2 linked regions of the Danio rerio genome follow. The protein of the gene in region 1 binds, or shares a complex with, the protein of each later gene. Links are inferred from orthologs where the notes say so. Each region holds a gene or a part of one and is shown in the gene's direction. Other genes may lie near its edges.

The links. Proteins that work in one complex are often made in the same cells at the same time.
Region 2: cnot6l (region 1) and cnot2 share a complex: the UniProt entries of both Homo sapiens proteins name them as parts of the CCR4-NOT complex. The link is inferred for Danio rerio from reciprocal best matches to the Homo sapiens genes CNOT6L and CNOT2.

The regions. Positions count from the first base shown.
Region 1 is NC_133180.1:39,704,838-39,709,588, reverse strand, and holds part of cnot6l (CCR4-NOT transcription complex subunit 6-like), read left to right. Parts: intron 1-13; coding exon 14-241; intron 242-1,563; coding exon 1,564-1,766; intron 1,767-4,751. UniProt on the Homo sapiens protein: Has 3'-5' poly(A) exoribonuclease activity for synthetic poly(A) RNA substrate.
Region 2 is NC_133200.1:31,060,985-31,065,735, forward strand, and holds part of cnot2 (CCR4-NOT transcription complex subunit 2), read left to right. Parts: intron 1-2,175; coding exon 2,176-2,248; intron 2,249-2,364; coding exon 2,365-2,515; intron 2,516-4,751. UniProt on the Homo sapiens protein: Component of the CCR4-NOT complex which is one of the major cellular mRNA deadenylases and is linked to various cellular processes including bulk mRNA degradation, miRNA-mediated repression, translational repression during translational initiation and general transcription regulation.

The DNA.
Region 1 (4,751 bases):
CACTGTACTGCAGGCTTAAAGCCACCTCCAGAGAAACAGCTCCTGCTTGTAGCTAACGCCCACATGCACTGGGATCCAGAATACTCGGATGTGAAGCTCATCCAGACTATGATGTTCCTGTCTGAGCTCAAGAGCATCGCTGAGAGGGCCTCGGGATCTATCAACTCTTCTTCACCCACATCAGAAACAAGCTCTATCCCTATCGTCCTGTGTGCTGATCTCAACTCCCTCCCAGATTCTGGTAAGTCATATTTAAAAGGTGCATGTTGAAAATAAATTGGAATGTTTGGGCCAGATTTACCAAGTAGGGCAATTTTACGCAAGAGCATTATTGCAAAACAGCACTGAATCTACAATTAGAGAACAAAGATATAACATCTCATTTACATATTGACAGTGCAAATTAGAATAGTGGCAAATTTCCTTGTGCCAAATATTTACTAAAAAAATTTACTGGTCAAAGAATGGACATGCTCACAAAATAGACAGGAATGTGAGTGACCACAAGGCACTTTTTATTTTTACTTACAACTAGCTACAGTATATCTGATGCATGCTTTTCAGGCACAAAGAGAACACATTGCACATTGTCTTAGGGAACCATGATCATGCTGGTATTGTGTGACTCAGATGTTACTTCCCAGTAGTCTCTTATTTCTTAAAACAAATTCAAAATAGCATATTTGGCAAACAGTATATTTGAGCGATTGTATTCCTTTGGCATTCCAAAATAAATATGTGTGGGGTAAAAAAAGTCTTATACCATGCGCTCTGTGTTCCCTGTATTGTCTTCTCCTGGTAACAACAACTGTAGCCATTTCAAGTGTGATATTTATATTTTTAGTCATTAAATAATGACGCAAATATCTAATGTGAGAAGCACAAATGTTGTTAAATTGCAATGCGCTATACATTTAAACACTTTCATCCTATAAATTTTGTGTCTAATTGGGAAACTCTTACAAATGTATATTTTAAAAAAAAGTAACTGTGTCAGTGCCTTTTCAGAGATATTTCTCTCTGCTGTGTGTGTTTGGTAAAACTAAAAAGACAGTTAGCATTGAAGCAAGCTGTTAGTAAATTTGTCTCTTTACTGTTTACAGTTTTTGTTAAGACTAATCTAAGACATTAATATATTTCAGCAAGCCATAAAATTGCACTTACAGAGTGGGTGGCTGTTGATTAGCCTTTTTGTTCCTTACAATTGGATCAAATAAACAAAGCTTACTGAATTCGCCTGCTACCAAATTAAAGTAATAATTCACCCAAAAATCTTACTGACATGTTTAAATTTTTGAAGTTTCCTTCTTCTGCAAGAATATAAAAGAAGATTTTTTAAAGAATGTTGATAACCAAATTTTTGACTTCCATTAAATTAAAAAAATAGAAAATAACATGTCATACATGTTATAAATATGTTGCAGAAAACTACCTATAGCTTTGTAATGTTAATTTGGGGGTGAACTATCTTTTGAATGTCAAAAAACAGCCAATTTTATTTTTTGCTTCAGATTAGAAGCTCTTGTCTCAGAATCACTCGTTTTCCTGACCTCTTTCTTGCAGGTGTGGTGGAGTATCTGAGCAATGGCGGAGTTGCAGAAAATCACAAAGACTTTAAAGAACTGCGCTACAGCGACTGTTTAACTAACTTCAGCTGCAATGGCAAAAACGGCAAGCCTGATGGCAGTATCACACACAGTTTCCAGCTGAAGAGTGCCTATGAGGGGAATCTCATGCCCTACACCAACTACACTTATGACTTCAAGGTGAGGAGATTTTTTTTTCAGAATCAAAATGAATCTCAATCAAAATATTATGGGAGCCATCTGTTTCAACATGAGATTTAGGATTTTCATGCTTGCTTTCTTTACATCGCCATTTTTGTTCTTTTATTTGTTTCAACAAAGCTTTGCTGCGAAGATGAATCATTTATGATCATATGATTATCTTGTTGGTAAATATGATGATGTAGGTCTCACATGATGCACTGTATATACATGATAATAAATTTACATTTGTTAATATTGAAATGACATAATCAAAAAATGACTGTCGGTTCATGACCAGGAGAATAAGTAATGATTCAGTGATGGTGTCTGATTCAAAAGCCAACTCATTTAGCTAATTATTTTGAGATGTGTTGATTGGTGGATTGTCTTGTGGGTGTCATTTGTTATTAAAGTGTGACTGCCTTTGTTATAATAATGAATTAAAATAGGGTGTTGGCATGTTACATGCTTGCATGAGGAAACCCGTGCACATTAGAAAGATTAATCCTTGTCCAGTATCTGCTTTTTAAAAGTTTTAAGTCAGAGTGAACCAGAAGTTGCTAAGACTTCTATTTCAGGAAGTCACTGTACTTCCGACTAAGATGGATTGTTGAGTAGGGGTCAGGGTTTTCTTTTTACTCATTATTCTCTCTTCGTAAACTAACGGTAATAGGGGTTTGGTTATCAATAGCTACAATCAACAAAAAATGAATGCCACTTTAAATGTGGAAGCAAATGTTTAGACTTTGAAGATTACCAAAACAAAATTGTTTTAGTCGATTATCTTGCACAGATTTATTGTTCACCTAAAGAATAAGAATGTGTGCTAACAAAATATACATTGTAAATTTCGATTTCACGTGGACTTCAAGGGATAAAACTAGAGTTGTGCTAATTTAAAATAGAGTTATATATTTTAATCTTATAGTTATATGTGTTTCTAGTCTAGTTTAGTCATCTCTGTTTCTTTTCCGGCTGTAAATCAATGTTCTGGTTCAGTTTAACACCTCATTGACAATCTAAGTGGCTCAAAACAGTCAAGTGCATATGCAGATTGTGCATACATTATATGCAAAGTTAAAAAAAATCTTCTGATTTAAAAATTCAACTTACTTCACCCTGTGAATTACACTAGCATGTGTCTAAGGAATATTGATTTCAGAAACCCTTATTACTTCACTTTCCACTCATTCAGACTTAAAGGGTTAGATTTTTAATTCATTCATTTTCTTTTTGGCTTAGTCCCTTTCATAATCAGGGGTCGCCACAGCCGAATGAACCGCCAACTTATCTAGCATATGTTTTACACAGTGGATGACCTTCTAGCTGCAACCTAACACAGGGAAACACCCATACACACTGTTTCACACTCACACACACTACAGCCGATTTAGCTTGTTCAGTTGACCTAATGCGCATGTCTATGGACTGTGGGGGAAACTGGAGCACCCGGAGGAAACTCACGCGAACACTGGGCGAACATGCAAGCTTCACACAGAGTTGCAAAGTGACCCAGCTGGTGCTCAAACCAACAACCTTCTTGCTGTGAGGCGATCGTGCTACCCACTGCGCCACCGTGACACCCAAAATTTAATTTCTAATATTAATAAGTGTCAATAGCCTGAGACCTTCACTCATCTTCTGAACACAAATGAGCTTCCTTCATCCTCCACAGACAGCCGTAGTCAGGCATTCAAAGTCCAGAAAAAGACCCCAAAATGCTGTCAAAATATTCCATGTGACTTCAGTGGTTAAACTAAAATCATGCACAGTTCCAATAACACCTTTATTCGCACAAAAAAAAAAAAGAGTAAAAACAACTTGCTTTTTATCAGTGTTTTCCATTTTAGATTAGTGTTTGCATTTAATATGACCAATAAAATGTTATTGTGTTGCTCTGCTGACTAAAATGACAATATATCAGACTGCCTGTAGCAAGTGCACACCCTGAACTGATGTGAAACAGAACAAAGAACGAATGAGCAAAGGCAAACAAAAGTATTTTTTACAGTTTTATGGCACACAATAATGTTCTTGGAGCTTCTAAAATGTTTTTTGTAAAGAAAAGTGTGTGCATTTGTACAGTATGTGGCCCATTTATCGTTGCAAAAAAGGCCACATCAAATAATTATAAAGTACATCAAAAAACTTCTGAAAACATTCAAAAACTTTCTGATTCAGTTCTAGTTTTGGTATTTGTGACTAGGTCTCTGCTTCATCAGAATCAGTATCAGTTTCGTGTCGCTAGGCAGACATGCCCAAACCCTGCATTCTACTTTCATTACAGGAGAAACTGCTTATTTGCAGTTAAAGCCAAAGACACCAAACAGCTCTGACCCAAAAACTGACATTTTCAAATGGTCTGACAGGTATTTTAAGCTGAAACTTCACAGACACATTTTAGGAACACCAAAAATTGTAAAAAGAGGCATAATATAAGAGGCCTAAAAAGACTTTTAAATAGATTTTAAAGTGACCTATATTTGAGACTATTTACAATTTATAATTTATTCAATAATTAATTCAAAATTAAAGTTTGAAGAAATATCTTTTTTTGCATGACACAGTGACATTTAAGTACAAATAATAGCTCTGACGGAATTCTCTTGAACAAATAAGCATTCGTTTAATGTGTCAGAATGGAAAAGAGTGAGCGTGTGTAAATGTCACGTCCTTTTGGTTTTCTTGGCAACATCCTGAATCATTCACATAAAAATCAGAATGTGCTTTCTTTGACAATCTAGAAAATCAGGGAAAGTTTGTTTTTTCTTTTGTTACACTTTGTTGACACATGGCAAAAAAACGGTCATTAGTACATACCTTAAAAGTGACAACTGTTGTTGAGTTTTAAAAATTGCATTTGTTACACATTTAAATGAATTAATCCTTTACTGCACAACATTTCACTTGGCAACAGAAATGTCAATTTTCAGTGCATGTTTTCATAAATCATTGCAACCAATTGGAATGGTTAATAGCAAT
Region 2 (4,751 bases), on another chromosome or scaffold:
AAAATGATTCTGTAAGGGAGTCAGTGTTTCCTCTAGGATTTCTTCCAGCTGTGGCGGCAGACTTTTTACACAAATCTGCTAACTACCCATGGCATTATTTCAATGACAAAAGGAGAAATGTCGTGAGCGCAGTATTAAAAGTCGAGATCGTATGCAATACGAGCATTCAAATCCCTTTGCTTGCGCGCCGATTTCCTCTGCTTGTTCACAAAACTTCTTACACACCCCCTTAAATATATGCTGCTCAAGCGCAGATCTTCTTGCGAACTCTCAAATAAAAAGCTGCTGAAATGCAATTTAGTGCTCCCATTTAGTATGTCTCCCAACATTTATTAGATTTGCTAGGAATATTTATTAATTTCTTATTAATTAATTTAATCATTAATTTATTAATCTAATTTCTAACAGAGCAGCATTAATGTGTCCTGAAGTAAAGTAAATCGGCTATAAACTCCAGCAAGATAAAGTCATTGCATGCAGAACCACAGACCTTTATCTATAAATAAAGTTTAATTATGAAAACTGTGTTCATCTTAACTAAAAGCTACGCAGTGTTTGCTGGCTTTACGCATCCCGCACTGGTCAGTCAGTCAGCAAAGGGTTTAACAAATAACGCACCGCACTGCTATGGTTACAGAAAAGTTTGCGCTGTTATAATTCACTTACTTTTTAATACATTTTGGTGCAATAATAACACGCTATTAAAAACAACAACAACAACAACAATGAATGAATGTTTTGAATGATAAGCTGTAATGTAGCTGTGGCAGGATGCATTTTGCTGTGGCTCCCCCCATGGAAGAATGAATGTAGCAGAAAAAAAGGAAGTGTATATGTATAAAATATCTACAAGCCTAGATGAATTCAATTAAGAAAAAGATACCAATTAAATAAACAGCATTTGATTGTTTTCTGACAAGTCAAACTCAATTCTGGTATACAGTAATTGATTAATCAAATGTAAAATAGTACTGCACAGTCTTTGTTTTTAAACAATTAAATAGTTACTAATTTGTTACAATTTCTTGGGCCTGAATGCTTTTAAAACCCTTACACAATCACAGGCCTCAAAAAAATACTTGCGAAATGGTAAATTATAATCCAGACTTAACATTGGGAATGATCACATTGCGATATCGATGCTGACATGATATATTGTGCAGTTCAATCCAAAATGCATTTTTTTTCCAGATCTGATAATATGAAAAATGTTACATTGTTAGAATTGCATTTGCATGCCAACATCTTCTTTAAACCTACTACCGAAAATATATTTACAATTATTGTTTTTATTTTTAGCACAAACAAAATCTTATTAGTCATTTTTGACCTAATGTGTACTTATTTTGTCACTCACTATGATCATAAACAGAAATCACTCAGAACTGCTAATGCATACTGAAACGAGACTATACTGAATGTCACAATGATTGTGTTTGAACACTCATGAAAACTAGCTTAAAGTAATCTTTCCACATTTTTGAAGTTGGACTTTTACATAAAGATGACTTGTCATTGCTGTTGGAGCATGTCAATAATGAATGGCGGTAGAGACAAATGATGGCATAATTATGCATGTTGATGGTACAAATGGCATTTTGTTTTCTGAAAACACTGAACTTTAGCTGTTTTATGAGAACCAAATGGCAAATTGTGACATTTTATTTCAGATTTTTCTAAATGCAGCATACAGTGATAAAATACACAGTAAAAGCATCAAATAAACATCTAATTGTCCATATAATTATTAGTTTTTAATCTTGTATTAGCACTAAAAATCTTATTTTGTTTGTCAGCAAGTTAAATAGAGAGAAATGCATTTAAAAATTAAATGAACACTAAGCTGGTCACAATCATATCTTGTTTTGCTCTCAAATAATTAAGAGTAAATGATTTAATTTTAACTGACCCAGTTAATTATTTTATTCAGCAAAGTTGCTTTATATTTATCACAAGTGACAGTTAAAGTATTTAGATTGTTACAAAAGTTATTTAAAGTAAATACTGGTTTGTTTTTTATCTGAATCTTAAAAGAGTTCTGTAAAAAAATGCATCAGTTTTTAATTTTTTTAGCAGCATGTAAACATTAGAATATACAAATATATAGAATATATAAAGCTTTACAATACATTTATTTTAATTTTAACTCTTTAATTTGACTTATCTCGTTTTCAGATGCTGCCGTCTCCCTCGCCGTCATCGTCAGGTCAATTGTCACAGCTTGGTGCAAGTTTGTACGGTCCTCAAAGTGAGTACTTGTCTGTGATCCAAATGACATCACGCCTGAGCTATTATTCAGTTCATAAAAATGTAAATCACTCTGTTTGTAATTGGCATGTAATCAGCGTTTATTTCAATTTGTAGGTGCACTAGGATTCTCAATAAGGGGCATGAGCAACAACAACCCTCAATTGAACCGGAGTTTAACACAAGGCACTCAGTTACCGAGCCATAGCACCCCAACGACAGGCGTCCCAACAATGTCCCTCCACACAACACCACCTTCGCCGAACAGGTAAACAATCTCTTCTACATGAATTATATTGTGTGGAATGACCTGATATTTAAAAAATGACCATTCTGTCATCATTTGCTCACTCTCCACTTGTTCCAAACTGGTTTGAGGTTCTTTCTTTCTGTTGAACACAAAAGTAGAAGTTTTTGTTCTAAACTGCCACTTTTTTTCCCTATTATGGATGTCAGTGGCTTTTGGTTTTCAATGCTATAAATATACCGTCTCTTGTGTTTAACATTAGAAAGAAACTCATATAGGACTCATGGATATTTGTTAAAGATATCTGTATGCTTGATTATATTTCAATTGATTATATTGGTTAAATTTTGAAAACAATAGTTAATGTTTGCATTCAACGGAAATTCAGTTATTTAATTAATTAAATTTGCTTGTATGAATTGAGTAGCCATAATGCTTTGCATTGTTGTGCCAAGTGTGAAACATTTATTTTCAGAAAATAAATTATTATTGTTATAATTATATAAATATAATGAAGAGTTCAGATGTAAAAGCTGCTGAACGCCACTTCTGCCAAAAATGAGCTGATGACATATGCAACAAATATGTTTGCTTCAATTCATCTAAATCCCAACATCTACCCATTCAGAAATAACAGTTTGTTGGCAAAAGCTTCTAAACAGCACTTGACTTTGACAGCAAAAGCAGATTTTTTTGTCCCAAAATCCCAAGAATCAGAAGGTGCTAATCGAGTCGTATGTTTTCAGTGTTATGGTTTGCTGATACGCCGGCTTCCGCTTTAAATATTAAAAGATGGAGTTTGATGAACAACATGAGCCTCTCTGATTGTCAGTGAATGGCAAATGAAAACTTCCTTTACCTTAAAACTGTAACATTAGGGGTGTCACGATTTCGATTTTTAATCGAAATCGATCAAAATTTATGCTCAAATTCGATTATCGAATCAAAAAATAGAATCGTCGATGCTCCCACACCCCCCCATGTCAGCTTGGCTTGCCAAGCGGGAAAAAAAACAGGCTTGTTGAAGTGCTTGTTAAACTGCAGAAGCAGGAGACCCGTCGAGAAAACTTAAACCCTCTCCTCTTTCAATGAAATCGCCGGTGTTTAAGCATTTTGGATTTCCAGGGAGTTATGTTGACAACGTTCGTGTTGTCGACAAAAAAACCCACAGTTTTGCAAGCTCTGCTGTGTACGTATTACGTACGGTTCGTCCGATAGACAACACCGGCATCGCGATCCTCCGCCCGCCCCCATTGCAAATCCGCTCGCGAAAAGTACACACTCAGGCCCTGTTTACACTGTCTTTGGTTTTAAATGGCATTTTAGAACGACAACGATTTGACATCCACAGTGGCGTGTAGCATTTCTGAGCAGCCCTCCTTTCTCTCTACCTCTGAAAATGCACATCACGTGACCACACAGACACAGACGCACACACAGCCATGCGCTCGAGACAGCAGGTCCAGGCAGTCAGAGGACTGCTTCAATCTTTCACTCACTTGTACTTAGTCATTTTAGCGAACACCTCAGATACTGTTGGCTGGTTCCTGTTGGTTGTGCGTCTTTTTTACCGACGCCATTATAACGACACAGATCACTGCCTATTCACGAGTCCCGCAGAAAAAGTGATTGACGAGTGGTAATTATGTGTGTATCTTGCCTTTATTCATTTACTGTATGATTTGTTTATGGGTAAAACAAAGACCATGCAGGTCAGGTAGTTTAAACGGTAGGCTACAAATGATTAAATGATGATTGGTCATTAATTAATTAATTATTCATAATCGAAAATCGAATCGAATCGTGCCTTTAGAATCGAAAATGTAATCGAATCGAGGATTTGGAGGATCGTGACACCCTTATGTAACATGCATGTTTTTTTTTTTTTGCACAGTCAAGCTACTTTAAATGAGTCCGATTTACTATTCATTACTTAAAACGGCAACTCCATTTCACGAAAGACAAAGTTAAGATGCTGTTCTTTTATCCCACATGGATGCTATGAGGATAAACAAGAGACAAAAAAGAGACCAAGACCTTGAGTATTGTGAGAAGAAATGAATGAATGACAGCTTTTAAAAGTGTCTGAGGGTGCTTTCACACCTGTGAATCGATTCAGTTGTTCCGAAATAGAGATTACAAATGTTACATTGTTGCTCTTTGCTCTTGGTGCGGTTCGCTTTCACACTGCAAAGTTTCTAATCGGACCAAAAGAGCTAAAACAAGTCATGTGAGAGTAAACTCTCCTCACATTGGT